Saccharomyces cerevisiae S288C: one gene and its partner. The protein of the gene in region 1 purifies or fractionates together with the protein of each later gene. This does not show direct contact. Each region holds a gene or a part of one and is shown on either strand. Other genes may lie near its edges.

Evidence for each region. Proteins that work in one complex are often made in the same cells at the same time.
Region 2: the proteins of ATF2 (region 1) and SEN54 purify together in Saccharomyces cerevisiae (affinity purification with mass spectrometry, with the first as the bait; one large-scale study listed by BioGRID). This does not show direct contact.

The regions. Positions count from the first base shown.
Region 1 is NC_001139.9:844,580-852,000, reverse strand, and holds ATF2 (alcohol O-acetyltransferase), read left to right. Parts: upstream 1-1,564; coding exon 1,565-3,172; downstream 3,173-7,421. Other genes in the region: PBP1 (Pbp1p), read left to right, coding at 1-954; ERG1 (squalene monooxygenase), read left to right, coding at 3,578-5,068; YGR174W-A (uncharacterized protein), read right to left, coding at 5,260-5,346; CBP4 (Cbp4p), read left to right, coding at 5,596-6,108; RBG2 (Rbg2p), read right to left, coding at 7,041-7,421. UniProt on the Saccharomyces cerevisiae protein: Can use acetyl-CoA to synthesize acetate esters from various alcohols, producing ethyl acetate, isoamyl acetate, isobutyl acetate, butyl acetate, hexyl acetate, heptyl acetate and octyl acetate.
Region 2 is NC_001148.4:393,773-399,997, reverse strand, and holds SEN54 (tRNA splicing endonuclease subunit SEN54), read left to right. Parts: upstream 1-1,892; coding exon 1,893-3,296; downstream 3,297-6,225. Other genes in the region: MOT1 (DNA-binding ATPase), read left to right, coding at 1-1,518; BRO1 (Bro1p), read right to left, coding at 3,426-5,960. UniProt on the Saccharomyces cerevisiae protein: Non-catalytic subunit of the tRNA-splicing endonuclease complex, a complex responsible for identification and cleavage of the splice sites in pre-tRNA. It cleaves pre-tRNA at the 5' and 3' splice sites to release the intron.

The DNA.
Region 1 (7,421 bases):
GAAGTCTTAAAAAGGTCAAGCTCTACATTAAAATCTAATTCTTCGTTGCCTCCAAAACCGATCAGCAAAACCCCTTCGGCCAAGACTGTTTCTCCTACTACACAGATTTCTGCAGGGAAATCAGAATCTAGAAGAAGTGGCAGCAACATATCTCAAGGCCAATCATCTACCGGCCATACCACGAGATCTAGTACTTCATTGAGAAGACGTAATCATGGTTCCTTTTTTGGTGCCAAGAACCCTCATACTAATGACGCCAAGAGAGTGTTGTTCGGAAAAAGTTTTAATATGTTCATCAAATCCAAGGAGGCCCACGATGAAAAGAAGAAAGGCGATGATGCCTCGGAGAATATGGAACCCTTCTTTATTGAAAAACCTTATTTTACTGCGCCAACCTGGTTAAATACAATTGAAGAATCGTATAAGACATTTTTCCCAGATGAGGATACGGCGATTCAAGAAGCTCAAACTAGGTTCCAACAACGCCAATTGAACTCCATGGGCAATGCTGTGCCTGGTATGAATCCAGCTATGGGCATGAATATGGGCGGGATGATGGGCTTTCCGATGGGAGGTCCATCGGCATCACCAAATCCGATGATGAATGGCTTTGCTGCTGGGTCAATGGGTATGTACATGCCATTTCAACCTCAGCCAATGTTTTATCACCCATCTATGCCTCAAATGATGCCAGTTATGGGTAGCAATGGGGCTGAAGAAGGAGGAGGAAATATTTCGCCCCATGTCCCTGCAGGTTTTATGGCAGCTGGCCCTGGCGCTCCTATGGGTGCCTTCGGGTATCCAGGAGGGATACCCTTCCAAGGAATGATGGGATCAGGTCCATCTGGCATGCCAGCGAACGGGTCGGCAATGCACAGTCATGGCCATAGTAGAAATTACCATCAAACTAGCCACCATGGCCACCATAATAGTAGTACCAGTGGCCATAAATAGTGAAGGAAGCACGTCAGAAAAAGCAATATATAGTAATAAATTCATGCACTTTATAAATATGGTATATAATCAGTGGTACTTACTTACCCATAAATAATGGAACTTTTAATTTTTATGGGAAGGATACTGGATTTTCATTTTTTTCATTTTTTTTGGAACAGGGTACTGAAACTTTTCTTTTTGAAAAAAAAATAAGAACTGAAGAATTTCAATGAACTGGAAGGCTCATCCATTTTTTTTTTTTTTCTTCAGATAGAACAGGCTTTAGCAAATTTTAAGTAATCAGTATTTCAATCGCCACAATCTCAGGCTACATTGAACTCTGTAGGCCACCGATAAATATTGCGGGATAATGAGTAAACGAATTCAACGAGTTTCCTATTTTGGTATTCTATATTTTTTCATACACCTAAACGATCGTAAACATTTGTTGTCAAGATTTACGTTTCTTCGAGGTCTGTGAAAATAGAGCAAATTGTTACTTAAAAGACAACAACAAATGTGTAGGGCAATTCTGCAGTAACAGCAATGTCATTCCTAATGCGTACAAACAGTACTGAGACTTTCAAACGAATAATAACTTCAGCAATAAAAATTGTCCAGGTTAATTATGGAAGATATAGAAGGATACGAACCACATATCACTCAAGAGTTGATAGACCGTGGCCATGCAAGACGTATGGGCCACTTGGAAAACTACTTTGCTGTTTTGAGTAGGCAGAAAATGTACTCGAATTTTACTGTTTACGCGGAATTGAATAAAGGTGTTAATAAGAGACAACTAATGCTTGTCTTGAAAGTATTACTTCAAAAATACTCAACTCTTGCGCATACAATCATTCCTAAGCATTATCCTCATCATGAAGCGTACTACTCTAGCGAAGAGTACCTTAGTAAACCTTTTCCACAGCATGATTTCATAAAGGTGATTTCTCATCTTGAATTCGATGACTTGATTATGAATAATCAACCAGAATACAGAGAAGTCATGGAGAAAATCTCAGAACAGTTCAAAAAGGATGATTTCAAAGTCACCAATAGGTTAATCGAATTGATTAGCCCTGTAATCATACCTCTGGGTAATCCGAAGAGGCCTAATTGGAGATTGATTTGTTTACCAGGTAAGGATACTGATGGGTTTGAAACGTGGAAAAACTTCGTTTATGTCACTAACCACTGCGGCTCCGACGGTGTCAGTGGATCGAATTTTTTCAAAGATTTAGCTCTACTCTTTTGTAAAATCGAAGAAAAAGGGTTTGATTATGATGAAGAGTTCATCGAAGATCAAGTCATCATTGACTATGATCGAGACTACACTGAAATTTCTAAATTGCCAAAACCGATTACGGATCGTATTGACTACAAGCCAGCATTGACTTCATTACCCAAATTCTTTTTAACAACCTTCATTTATGAACATTGTAATTTTAAAACCTCCAGCGAATCTACACTTACAGCTAGATATAGCCCCTCTAGTAATGCTAATGCTAGTTACAATTACTTGTTGCATTTCAGTACTAAGCAAGTAGAACAAATCAGAGCTCAGATCAAGAAAAATGTTCACGATGGGTGCACCCTAACACCCTTCATTCAAGCGTGCTTTCTTGTAGCCCTGTATAGACTGGATAAGCTGTTCACAAAATCTCTTCTCGAGTATGGGTTCGATGTGGCTATTCCAAGCAACGCAAGAAGGTTTTTACCAAACGATGAAGAGTTAAGAGATTCTTATAAATACGGCTCCAACGTTGGAGGTTCGCATTACGCCTATCTAATCTCCTCATTCGACATTCCCGAAGGTGACAATGACAAGTTTTGGAGTCTTGTCGAATACTACTATGACCGCTTTTTAGAATCGTACGACAACGGTGACCACTTGATTGGTCTGGGGGTCCTACAACTTGATTTTATCGTTGAAAACAAGAATATAGACAGCCTTCTTGCCAACTCTTATTTGCACCAGCAAAGAGGCGGTGCAATCATCAGTAATACAGGACTTGTCTCGCAAGATACGACCAAGCCGTACTACGTTCGGGATTTAATCTTCTCGCAGTCTGCAGGCGCCTTGAGATTTGCGTTCGGCCTAAACGTTTGCTCCACAAACGTGAATGGTATGAACATGGACATGAGCGTGGTTCAGGGCACTCTACGGGATCGTGGCGAATGGGAATCGTTCTGCAAGCTCTTCTACCAAACCATCGGCGAATTTGCGTCGCTTTAATGCGATACTGCCGTAGCGGGCCTTCGTATAGCTCGGCCGAGCTCGTACAAAAGGCAAGCAGTGTATCGGACAGAGCTGATATAACACAATACGCTCGTAGTCGATGCATGCCGTGGCTGCTCTCGGTCGGGTATAAGTCTTAGACAATAGTCTTACCTCGCATGTATAATAAATCTTTTGTATTTAATCTATTATATGTTTCTATGCTTTTTTTTCCTATTGTTGTTTGCTTTTCCTTTTCCTTATTTCTTTCTAGCTTCTAATTTTCTTTCTTTTTTTTTTTTTTTTCATTGAAAATTATATATATATATATATATCAGAACAATTGTCCAGTATTGAACAATACAGGTTATTTCGAACAATTGAAAAAAAAAAATCACAGAAAAACATATCGAGAAAAGGGTCATGTCTGCTGTTAACGTTGCACCTGAATTGATTAATGCCGACAACACAATTACCTACGATGCGATTGTCATCGGTGCTGGTGTTATCGGTCCATGTGTTGCTACTGGTCTAGCAAGAAAGGGTAAGAAAGTTCTTATCGTAGAACGTGACTGGGCTATGCCTGATAGAATTGTTGGTGAATTGATGCAACCAGGTGGTGTTAGAGCATTGAGAAGTCTGGGTATGATTCAATCTATCAACAACATCGAAGCATATCCTGTTACCGGTTATACCGTCTTTTTCAACGGCGAACAAGTTGATATTCCATACCCTTACAAGGCCGATATCCCTAAAGTTGAAAAATTGAAGGACTTGGTCAAAGATGGTAATGACAAGGTCTTGGAAGACAGCACTATTCACATCAAGGATTACGAAGATGATGAAAGAGAAAGGGGTGTTGCTTTTGTTCATGGTAGATTCTTGAACAACTTGAGAAACATTACTGCTCAAGAGCCAAATGTTACTAGAGTGCAAGGTAACTGTATTGAGATATTGAAGGATGAAAAGAATGAGGTTGTTGGTGCCAAGGTTGACATTGATGGCCGTGGCAAGGTGGAATTCAAAGCCCACTTGACATTTATCTGTGACGGTATCTTTTCACGTTTCAGAAAGGAATTGCACCCAGACCATGTTCCAACTGTCGGTTCTTCGTTTGTCGGTATGTCTTTGTTCAATGCTAAGAATCCTGCTCCTATGCACGGTCACGTTATTCTTGGTAGTGATCATATGCCAATCTTGGTTTACCAAATCAGTCCAGAAGAAACAAGAATCCTTTGTGCTTACAACTCTCCAAAGGTCCCAGCTGATATCAAGAGTTGGATGATTAAGGATGTCCAACCTTTCATTCCAAAGAGTCTACGTCCTTCATTTGATGAAGCCGTCAGCCAAGGTAAATTTAGAGCTATGCCAAACTCCTACTTGCCAGCTAGACAAAACGACGTCACTGGTATGTGTGTTATCGGTGACGCTCTAAATATGAGACATCCATTGACTGGTGGTGGTATGACTGTCGGTTTGCATGATGTTGTCTTGTTGATTAAGAAAATAGGTGACCTAGACTTCAGCGACCGTGAAAAGGTTTTGGATGAATTACTAGACTACCATTTCGAAAGAAAGAGTTACGATTCCGTTATTAACGTTTTGTCAGTGGCTTTGTATTCTTTGTTCGCTGCTGACAGCGATAACTTGAAGGCATTACAAAAAGGTTGTTTCAAATATTTCCAAAGAGGTGGCGATTGTGTCAACAAACCCGTTGAATTTCTGTCTGGTGTCTTGCCAAAGCCTTTGCAATTGACCAGGGTTTTCTTCGCTGTCGCTTTTTACACCATTTACTTGAACATGGAAGAACGTGGTTTCTTGGGATTACCAATGGCTTTATTGGAAGGTATTATGATTTTGATCACAGCTATTAGAGTATTCACCCCATTTTTGTTTGGTGAGTTGATTGGTTAACTACAGCTTATAAGGGAGAGAGGATAGGAACCGTCAAACATTAAGCTGCACCTTTTTTTTTTATTACAGAAGTCGGCTTGGAAGGCTTGTATAGTACATTACGATAAACACATCTTATTTTTATTTATTACTTATTTATTTTACATATTTTCAAAAAAATTCACATATCATTTATTATTAACCGAAGTGTTTTATACTTTTTGTTCTTTCCTTAAAAATGCCTCCAACAGAAAAGGAAAAATGGCTTGATATGCTTCAAAATATGCATTGAGATTCATATTCGGTTATCAATTAACGATATTACTTCCTTAAGTGATATTAAATCAAGCTTGCCGGATTCTGCAGTCAGAATTATACATAATAGTATTTGTGCTCTCGTAAATCCTTTCAGAATTACACCATAGTAGTCTTTGTGAATGTTCTACTTATTAGAATAGATTATTGCTAGTTTATCTCACTTTTCATTCCCCATATCCCTTTTTTTGCTCATCCCCCGGGGTATTTTATCAAGATAAAATTTTATATACATGCAGTGCGCGATAACTCCTAGAGAGGCAGTAATAGCAAAACAAAGACAGTATAAGCATTATTTGGGTATGGAAAGACCATTGTGGGTACGTTGGTTGAAAGTCTATGCAATTGGTGGCGCTATTATTGGAAGCGGGTTTCTGCTTTTCAAGTACACAACGCCAACAGATCAACAGTTAATCAGCCAGCTTTCCCCAGAATTACGTTTACAATATGAGAGGGAGAAAAAACTACGTCAGTCGGAGCAGCAGGCTTTGATGAAAATTGTTAAGGAAACTTCTCAAAGTGACGATCCAATTTGGAAGACGGGCCCCCTTCAATCACCTTGGGAAAGGAACGGTGATAACGTTCAAAGCAGAGATCACTTTGCTAAGGTGAGGGCGGAGGAGGTGCAAAAAGAAGAGTTGGCTAGGATCAGAAATGAACTGTCTCAGCTAAGATCTGAAACGGAGGAGAAAACAAAGGAAATAGTCCAGGATAAGCAGGTTAAAAGCTGGTGGCGCTTCTGGTAGATGGGTCGGGTCACTCAATTAGGAAGGGCAGCTTGAACTTTTGCATCCTAAAACATACGTCTGTGTCATTTATGATATATTATTTATTTGTACACTGTAAATAGGTTTAAAAATATAACTTCATACTTATTTTTAGCTATTTTAGTTCCCATACTTGGGGATGGAAAAAACATTGCGCAAGCCCGGAATCGAACCGGGGGCCCAACGATGGCAACGTTGGATTTTACCACTAAACCACTTGCGCTTGTTATTTATATGAGATTATTGCATCATGCAATGGGGTAATGTCAAGGTTCTTGACAATCCTAATATAAACAGTCTTAGGGAAGTAACCAGTTGTCAAAACGGTTTATCAGCTTGATTCACGGGATCTTACTTATCCTATATATTATATAAAATATGGATCATACTAAATGGTGGAAGCGCGGAATCTTGGATCTAAACCAATTGTTCAGATACTTATACGTTAGAGTAGGTTAGCTAAGGAAGGCAGAGTTTTATTTTCATGTTGCTCATTCTGTTCGTTTTGCTGTAAGGTTGTTTCATATGTGTTTTATGAACGTTTAGGATGATGTATTGTCATACTGAGGTATCCCATTCTGAGATACAACAGAGAAGGTTCCTTTATACTTACTACACTAGGTACCACTATTATAATTTCGAGATTTCATTGTCATTCGGGTTTATTTATTCATTTGAAGCCCAGAATGACAATTTTTATGAACGGAGCTCTTCAAATTACATTATAAAAGTATATACGAATATACCATGAAAGTAACACCTTCCGGTTCTCACTAAAAAACCTATTTTCAGCATTTATTTCTACTACAAGGAAAATGAGTCCGTTTAGTCATGCAAAATCTCTGCTCCGTACTACAGTTCTCGATGCTGATCTTGTTTTTTCATGTTTCTTTAAAATCTATTCATTTATACTATTTCGCGAATAAAGAAACTACATCTTCATCATCAATCCTGTGGTTTAAGCCGCACTTCTGAGGAGAATGTTTGGCAGAAGAACCCCAAACCAATGCGTATTTGAACTTATCTTTGAAATCCCTGTGGATACCATGACATAAGTCACCAATAGTGGAATTATTTCTTACCACTAGAGGATCATCAAATACTGGTCTAACACCTCTCTTCTTTGTATACACACGACTCAAGTTCAGCTGGTACCAAATTTCTTCAACGACGTCTTGTAATCCCAAATCCATTTCACAGGACATAACAACGGTGTTTGGCTCTCTGGCAAGTTTATCCACCTCTTCTAATGATACTGCATCTATCTTATTATACACATAAAGACATTTGAC
Region 2 (6,225 bases), on another chromosome or scaffold:
TATGCCGGTGGCCCAACTGTCAGATTAACTCTGAGACCACAGTTAAGTGATGCTGATATTATTGTAACATCATATGACGTAGCTAGAAATGATCTCGCAGTCCTAAACAAAACTGAATATAATTATTGTGTTTTGGATGAAGGACATATAATTAAAAACTCTCAATCAAAACTTGCTAAGGCTGTTAAAGAAATTACTGCAAACCATAGATTAATTTTAACCGGAACTCCCATCCAAAACAACGTTTTAGAATTGTGGTCTCTGTTTGACTTCTTAATGCCGGGATTTTTGGGAACGGAAAAGATGTTCCAGGAAAGGTTCGCAAAGCCAATCGCTGCGTCAAGAAATAGTAAAACATCATCTAAGGAGCAGGAAGCAGGTGTACTGGCTTTGGAGGCACTACATAAGCAAGTTCTACCTTTCATGCTGAGAAGATTGAAGGAAGACGTTCTATCTGATTTACCACCTAAAATTATTCAGGATTACTACTGTGAATTAGGTGATTTACAAAAACAACTATACATGGATTTTACTAAAAAACAAAAAAATGTAGTTGAGAAAGATATTGAAAATTCTGAGATTGCTGATGGCAAGCAACATATTTTCCAAGCTTTACAATACATGAGAAAATTGTGTAATCATCCAGCTTTGGTCCTTTCACCAAATCACCCGCAATTAGCGCAAGTACAAGACTATTTAAAGCAAACTGGTCTAGATTTACACGATATTATCAACGCTCCAAAACTGAGCGCATTGAGAACATTACTCTTTGAATGTGGTATAGGTGAAGAAGATATCGACAAAAAAGCAAGCCAAGATCAGAATTTTCCTATTCAAAATGTCATATCACAACACAGAGCCCTGATTTTCTGCCAACTAAAAGATATGCTAGACATGGTTGAAAATGACTTGTTTAAAAAGTATATGCCCTCCGTAACCTATATGAGGCTAGATGGAAGCATTGACCCAAGAGACAGACAAAAAGTTGTTCGGAAATTTAACGAAGATCCCTCTATTGATTGCCTACTGTTGACCACCAAGGTCGGAGGGCTGGGTCTGAATTTAACTGGTGCAGACACCGTCATTTTTGTAGAGCATGACTGGAATCCAATGAATGATCTACAGGCAATGGACAGAGCACATAGAATTGGTCAGAAAAAGGTTGTTAATGTTTACAGAATTATTACGAAAGGTACGCTTGAAGAAAAAATCATGGGTTTGCAGAAATTCAAAATGAATATAGCTTCTACAGTTGTTAATCAGCAAAACAGTGGATTAGCATCCATGGATACACATCAGCTGCTTGATCTCTTCGACCCCGATAACGTTACCTCACAGGACAATGAGGAAAAGAATAATGGCGATTCCCAAGCAGCCAAGGGCATGGAAGATATTGCCAACGAGACTGGTTTAACTGGCAAAGCCAAAGAGGCCCTCGGTGAATTGAAAGAGCTATGGGACCCATCTCAATACGAGGAGGAGTATAATTTAGACACCTTCATCAAAACTTTACGATAAACAAATTCTTGCATTGGAATGACGCGTATACAAGGTCATTTTTGTTTTATTTAACGCATTTATGTATTATCAACTTGTAATATAATACGGTATATTAATGGAGTCTTATAGAATTTACGGGTATATTCAAATCAGTATTGATAATGTTTTCATATTCTCTTGTTAAAATTCAGGTTATTAGCTGTCTATTGATTATGGCTTGGACTTTTTTTTTATTTTATTATTTTTCATAGTTAAGTTGCGCCAAAGGGAAACTAGAAACAGTTTAGTCGAACTCTGCAGAGCTTCATCTCAGTATGAAAAATTATTCATTTGAGCTATCGAAACGTTTGGATATAAACATACATAAAACCTCTGTTCTTCTGCCAATTTAAATGCAATTCGCTGGGAAGAAAACTGATCAAGTGACCACATCTAATCCGGGCTTTGAAGAAGAAGAAGAAGAAGAAGAAGAACTACAACAAGATTGGTCGCAACTCGCATCGCTCGTTAGCAAAAATGCTGCTCTTTCACTTCCAAAGAGGGGTGAAAAAGACTATGAACCAGATGGGACTAATTTGCAAGATCTGCTTCTCTATAATGCAAGTAAAGCCATGTTTGATACCATATCAGACTCAATAAGAGGCACAACAGTAAAATCTGAAGTAAGAGGATACTATGTTCCCCATAAACATCAAGCCGTTCTACTTAAACCCAAAGGCAGCTTTATGCAAACGATGGGAAGGGCTGATAGCACAGGCGAACTCTGGCTTGACTTCCATGAGTTTGTTTATTTGGCAGAGAGAGGCACTATTCTTCCTTATTATAGATTAGAAGCAGGCTCTAACAAAAGCTCAAAGCACGAAACAGAGATTTTACTCAGTATGGAGGATTTGTATTCGCTGTTTTCATCGCAACAGGAAATGGACCAATATTTTGTGTTTGCTCATTTAAAAAGGTTGGGTTTTATTCTAAAACCCAGCAATCAAGAAGCAGCAGTCAAGACTTCCTTTTTCCCATTGAAAAAGCAACGAAGTAATTTACAAGCAATCACTTGGAGATTACTTTCATTGTTTAAAATACAAGAGTTATCGCTGTTTAGTGGTTTCTTCTATTCTAAGTGGAATTTTTTTTTTCGTAAATATACGACTTCACCACAGTTATACCAGGGTTTAAATAGGCTTGTTCGTTCCGTGGCTGTACCAAAGAATAAAAAAGAGCTATTGGATGCACAATCTGATAGGGAATTTCAAAAGGTAAAGGATATTCCCTTGACATTTAAAGTATGGAAACCCCATTCTAATTTCAAGAAAAGAGACCCCGGTCTTCCTGATTTCCAAGTTTTCGTTTACAATAAAAATGACGATCTTCAGCATTTTCCTACCTATAAAGAGCTGCGATCTATGTTTTCCTCACTTGATTATAAATTCGAATTTTTAAGCGAAATCGAGGATGATGACGATTGGGAGACAAACTCCTACGTTGAAGATATCCCACGAAAGGAATATATTCATAAGAGGAGCGCGAAATCTCAAACTGAAAAAAGTGAGTCGTCTATGAAAGCAAGTTTTCAAAAAAAAACTGCACAGTCTAGCACGAAAAAGAAGAGAAAGGCGTACCCACCTCACATACAGCAAAATCGTAGATTGAAGACGGGATATCGGAGCTTTATTATCGCTATTATGGATAATGGCCTTATTTCGTTTGTAAAAATGTCCGAGGCTGATTTTGGATCTGAAAGTGTATGGTATACACCTAATACTCAAAAGAAAGTAGATCAAAGATGGAAGAAGCATTAAAGGGACTTTTGCTAAATCGCAGTTTCTTTATCCTTGCAAAACTGGCTTTCAACAAATCCGGTATATATATAATTATCATATTAGTTGAAAAAAAAAAGCTACAATAAAATTAAGAAATAAGAAATGCACCTAACTGCTGTATTTGGAGTACATATTTTCATCAAAAACAGAGGGTCTATTGTAAAAGGACGTAGGATTCTCTTGCAGTTCACGTTCTTCGTTTTCAACTGCTTTACGTCTTCTCAAGTCGTACATATCCTCTTGCGATTGTTTCGGTGGTACTGGTGGGGCTGCCATAGTAGGCGTTGCAGCATATGGCGAAGCTTCATAAGTTCTTGGTGGAATACCGGGTCCTTGAGGTAAATCACTGCCGGCACTTATTTTGAGATTTTGAAATTGGTCCCCTAAATTGAGCCCTTGTCTAGATAATGACTGAAAGGCTGCACTTTTTTGGGGCAGTAATGGAGGACCCCCAACGACAGACGCTTTAGAATCAAGTGGAGGGAGGGGAGGAGCGGGAGAATTAGCTGTTGAATCCTCGGTCTGCTTTGCAACTCTCACTCTTTCTGCTAAGTCTCTACTCATATTGAATAATGAATCATAGAACTCTATTCCTTTTGGCAAGTCGGATGCAAAAATACTGAATGATTTCACTGCTTCTTGCAGCTTATCAAAAAAATTCTTACGATCTTCTAAAAATTTTTCTTCCCCAGAAGATTTATCCTTGAAATTTGAAAGGTGAAAAATTTCATCTAGCTTGGCTTTGATGTCATCTATCATTGAAGATTGTTTGTAAATTGTCGCCTCTATTCTTGTGCTCAAAGGCTCGAATTTCTCCAGTTCCACCTCGAATAAATCTTTGAGCTCAACATCGGATTTCCCCTTATTAATAATTAATAATTTTGTGATATCATCGTTGTTGATTTCGTCTCTTAGTTCAGACAAATTTCTCGAACGTTCCTCTTTCAATGTTCTTAAGTCTTCCGCATGGCCCTTTACTTGTTTTAACAACTCTAATATCTTGTCGTTTTTGGTATCATCGATATCCAATAGGCTAGGTTGTGGAGGCGTATTGCGATTAAATTCGTCAAACTTCTTCCATATTTTTCCATTGTCATTCAATAGATTGATCTCGACAATATGTGGTTTTACGCATGCGAACAATTTTTCGTCTGAGTTTGAAGCAGCTACTAAAGAAGATTTTAGTTTTGTAACATTTTCTTTTTGATCATTGGGTAAGGCAGAAAGGATTTCTAAAATTTGTTTCCTTTTGAAAACAATTTTGTTCATCTGTTCTTCTATATCCCTAAATTCATTTGTTTGGATAAATTTACACCATGTCTGAATTTGGTCCCTCATCAATTGTCCCTGTGTATCCGTATTCGAGAAAATATTTCCGTCACTAAATTGTTTTTCCAAATCACTCAAGAGCCTGGGTAGATTTGTAAATTCGATGAAGGAAGAATATTCCAAATTTGCTGTCTCAGTTTCTTCAACTTGCTTTCTCAACAGCGTCGCTTTTTCTTCTGAGTAAATACTTTCCTTTTCATAGACATCTAGGGGAATAATTCCTCTGTACAAAGAGTCACATTTATTTGCAACATCTTGCATATATGGTTCTAATATCTTCTCCCATGTTGGAGATTTTATTGCATCGAGCGCCTTAATGGAATCAACCTGCACAACGGCTGGAACGCTTTCATGATATATAAAATCGTTATCTTTAATCAACTCCTTTTGTTTCTTTTCTAAAGTTTCTTTAAACCCATCAAAGTCTATAAATTCCACTAACCACGTTTTGAATGGAAGGGATGAAATCAATTGTTGCATAGAAAAATCGAGAAAAGCAATTGCTTCGCCAACTCTATTTTCTTCTTCAAGGTGTAAACCGTGATAATAAGCGCTTAACGATTTGTAGAAATGCAGTTTGCAAGTAACTGTCGTTTTCCATTTGGGTTCACCATAAATGGCCACATCGTCATCTATTTCTTTCATAAAATCGTGACATTTCTGAAAGAGGTTACACGTGGCTCTAGAAAGTTTACTGATTAATGTATATTGCTTGGATGATATTTGATCATTTAATAATTTCAAGACAAACAATTCTTGAGCTTCTGCATGGCAAATATTAGCCAGAAACCTAGTGTTTTCTGACTGAAGATCGACTGAAGGTGAGTTCAAAAAATTTTCTGATAGATATTCAAAACAGGAAAAAGCTTTTGTCAAATTTGCGATTGAGTTTTTGTAGTCCTCATTGATATTCTCCCTCGCAATTTGGGTAAAGATTACAGCAATGTTGAACAAAGTACAAGACTTTTCAAATGCTAACGTATGTTGCGTGTATTTCAATCCTTTCTGGGCCGATGAGTATTCTGCGTCATACCAAGTGAAATCCATTTTTAATCTTGATCCTTTGCTACCCAGGCGAAAATAAAGATGCTCCAAAAATGAGTAATATTTTAGATTTTGTTCCGACAATGAAGAAGGTGCTAGTTCTCCATTTGCATTATTCCTTAAGTGATCCAGTTCTGAAGTAGCTTTCTCATCATAAAATGTTCTCCATTGTGAGGAGCCGTATGATTTCTTGAGATATGAGGAGAGGCCTTTTTTCCAATCCAGCTTCTCTGTGTCTTTTAGCTTTAGGTCAAATAAGTAAGGTTTCATGAGTAGAACCAGTGAGTAATGAACCTAGTAATGCTCCAGTCAGCCGCTTTCTGATTCAAGATTTTTCCACGACAACCCCCTTAGTACTTCTTCGAATTGTAACTGAAGCCTTGCTTGCTTTCTGTTTCTCGGTGATCCTAACCCGGAACCGGCGTCCTGCATTAATCGAAGCAAGAAAATGAGGTATGATAGAATAATATTAGTATAAGCAAAGTTTCAGATCGCATTCATCTGATTTCTTACTGACAACGATGCATAACCTAAA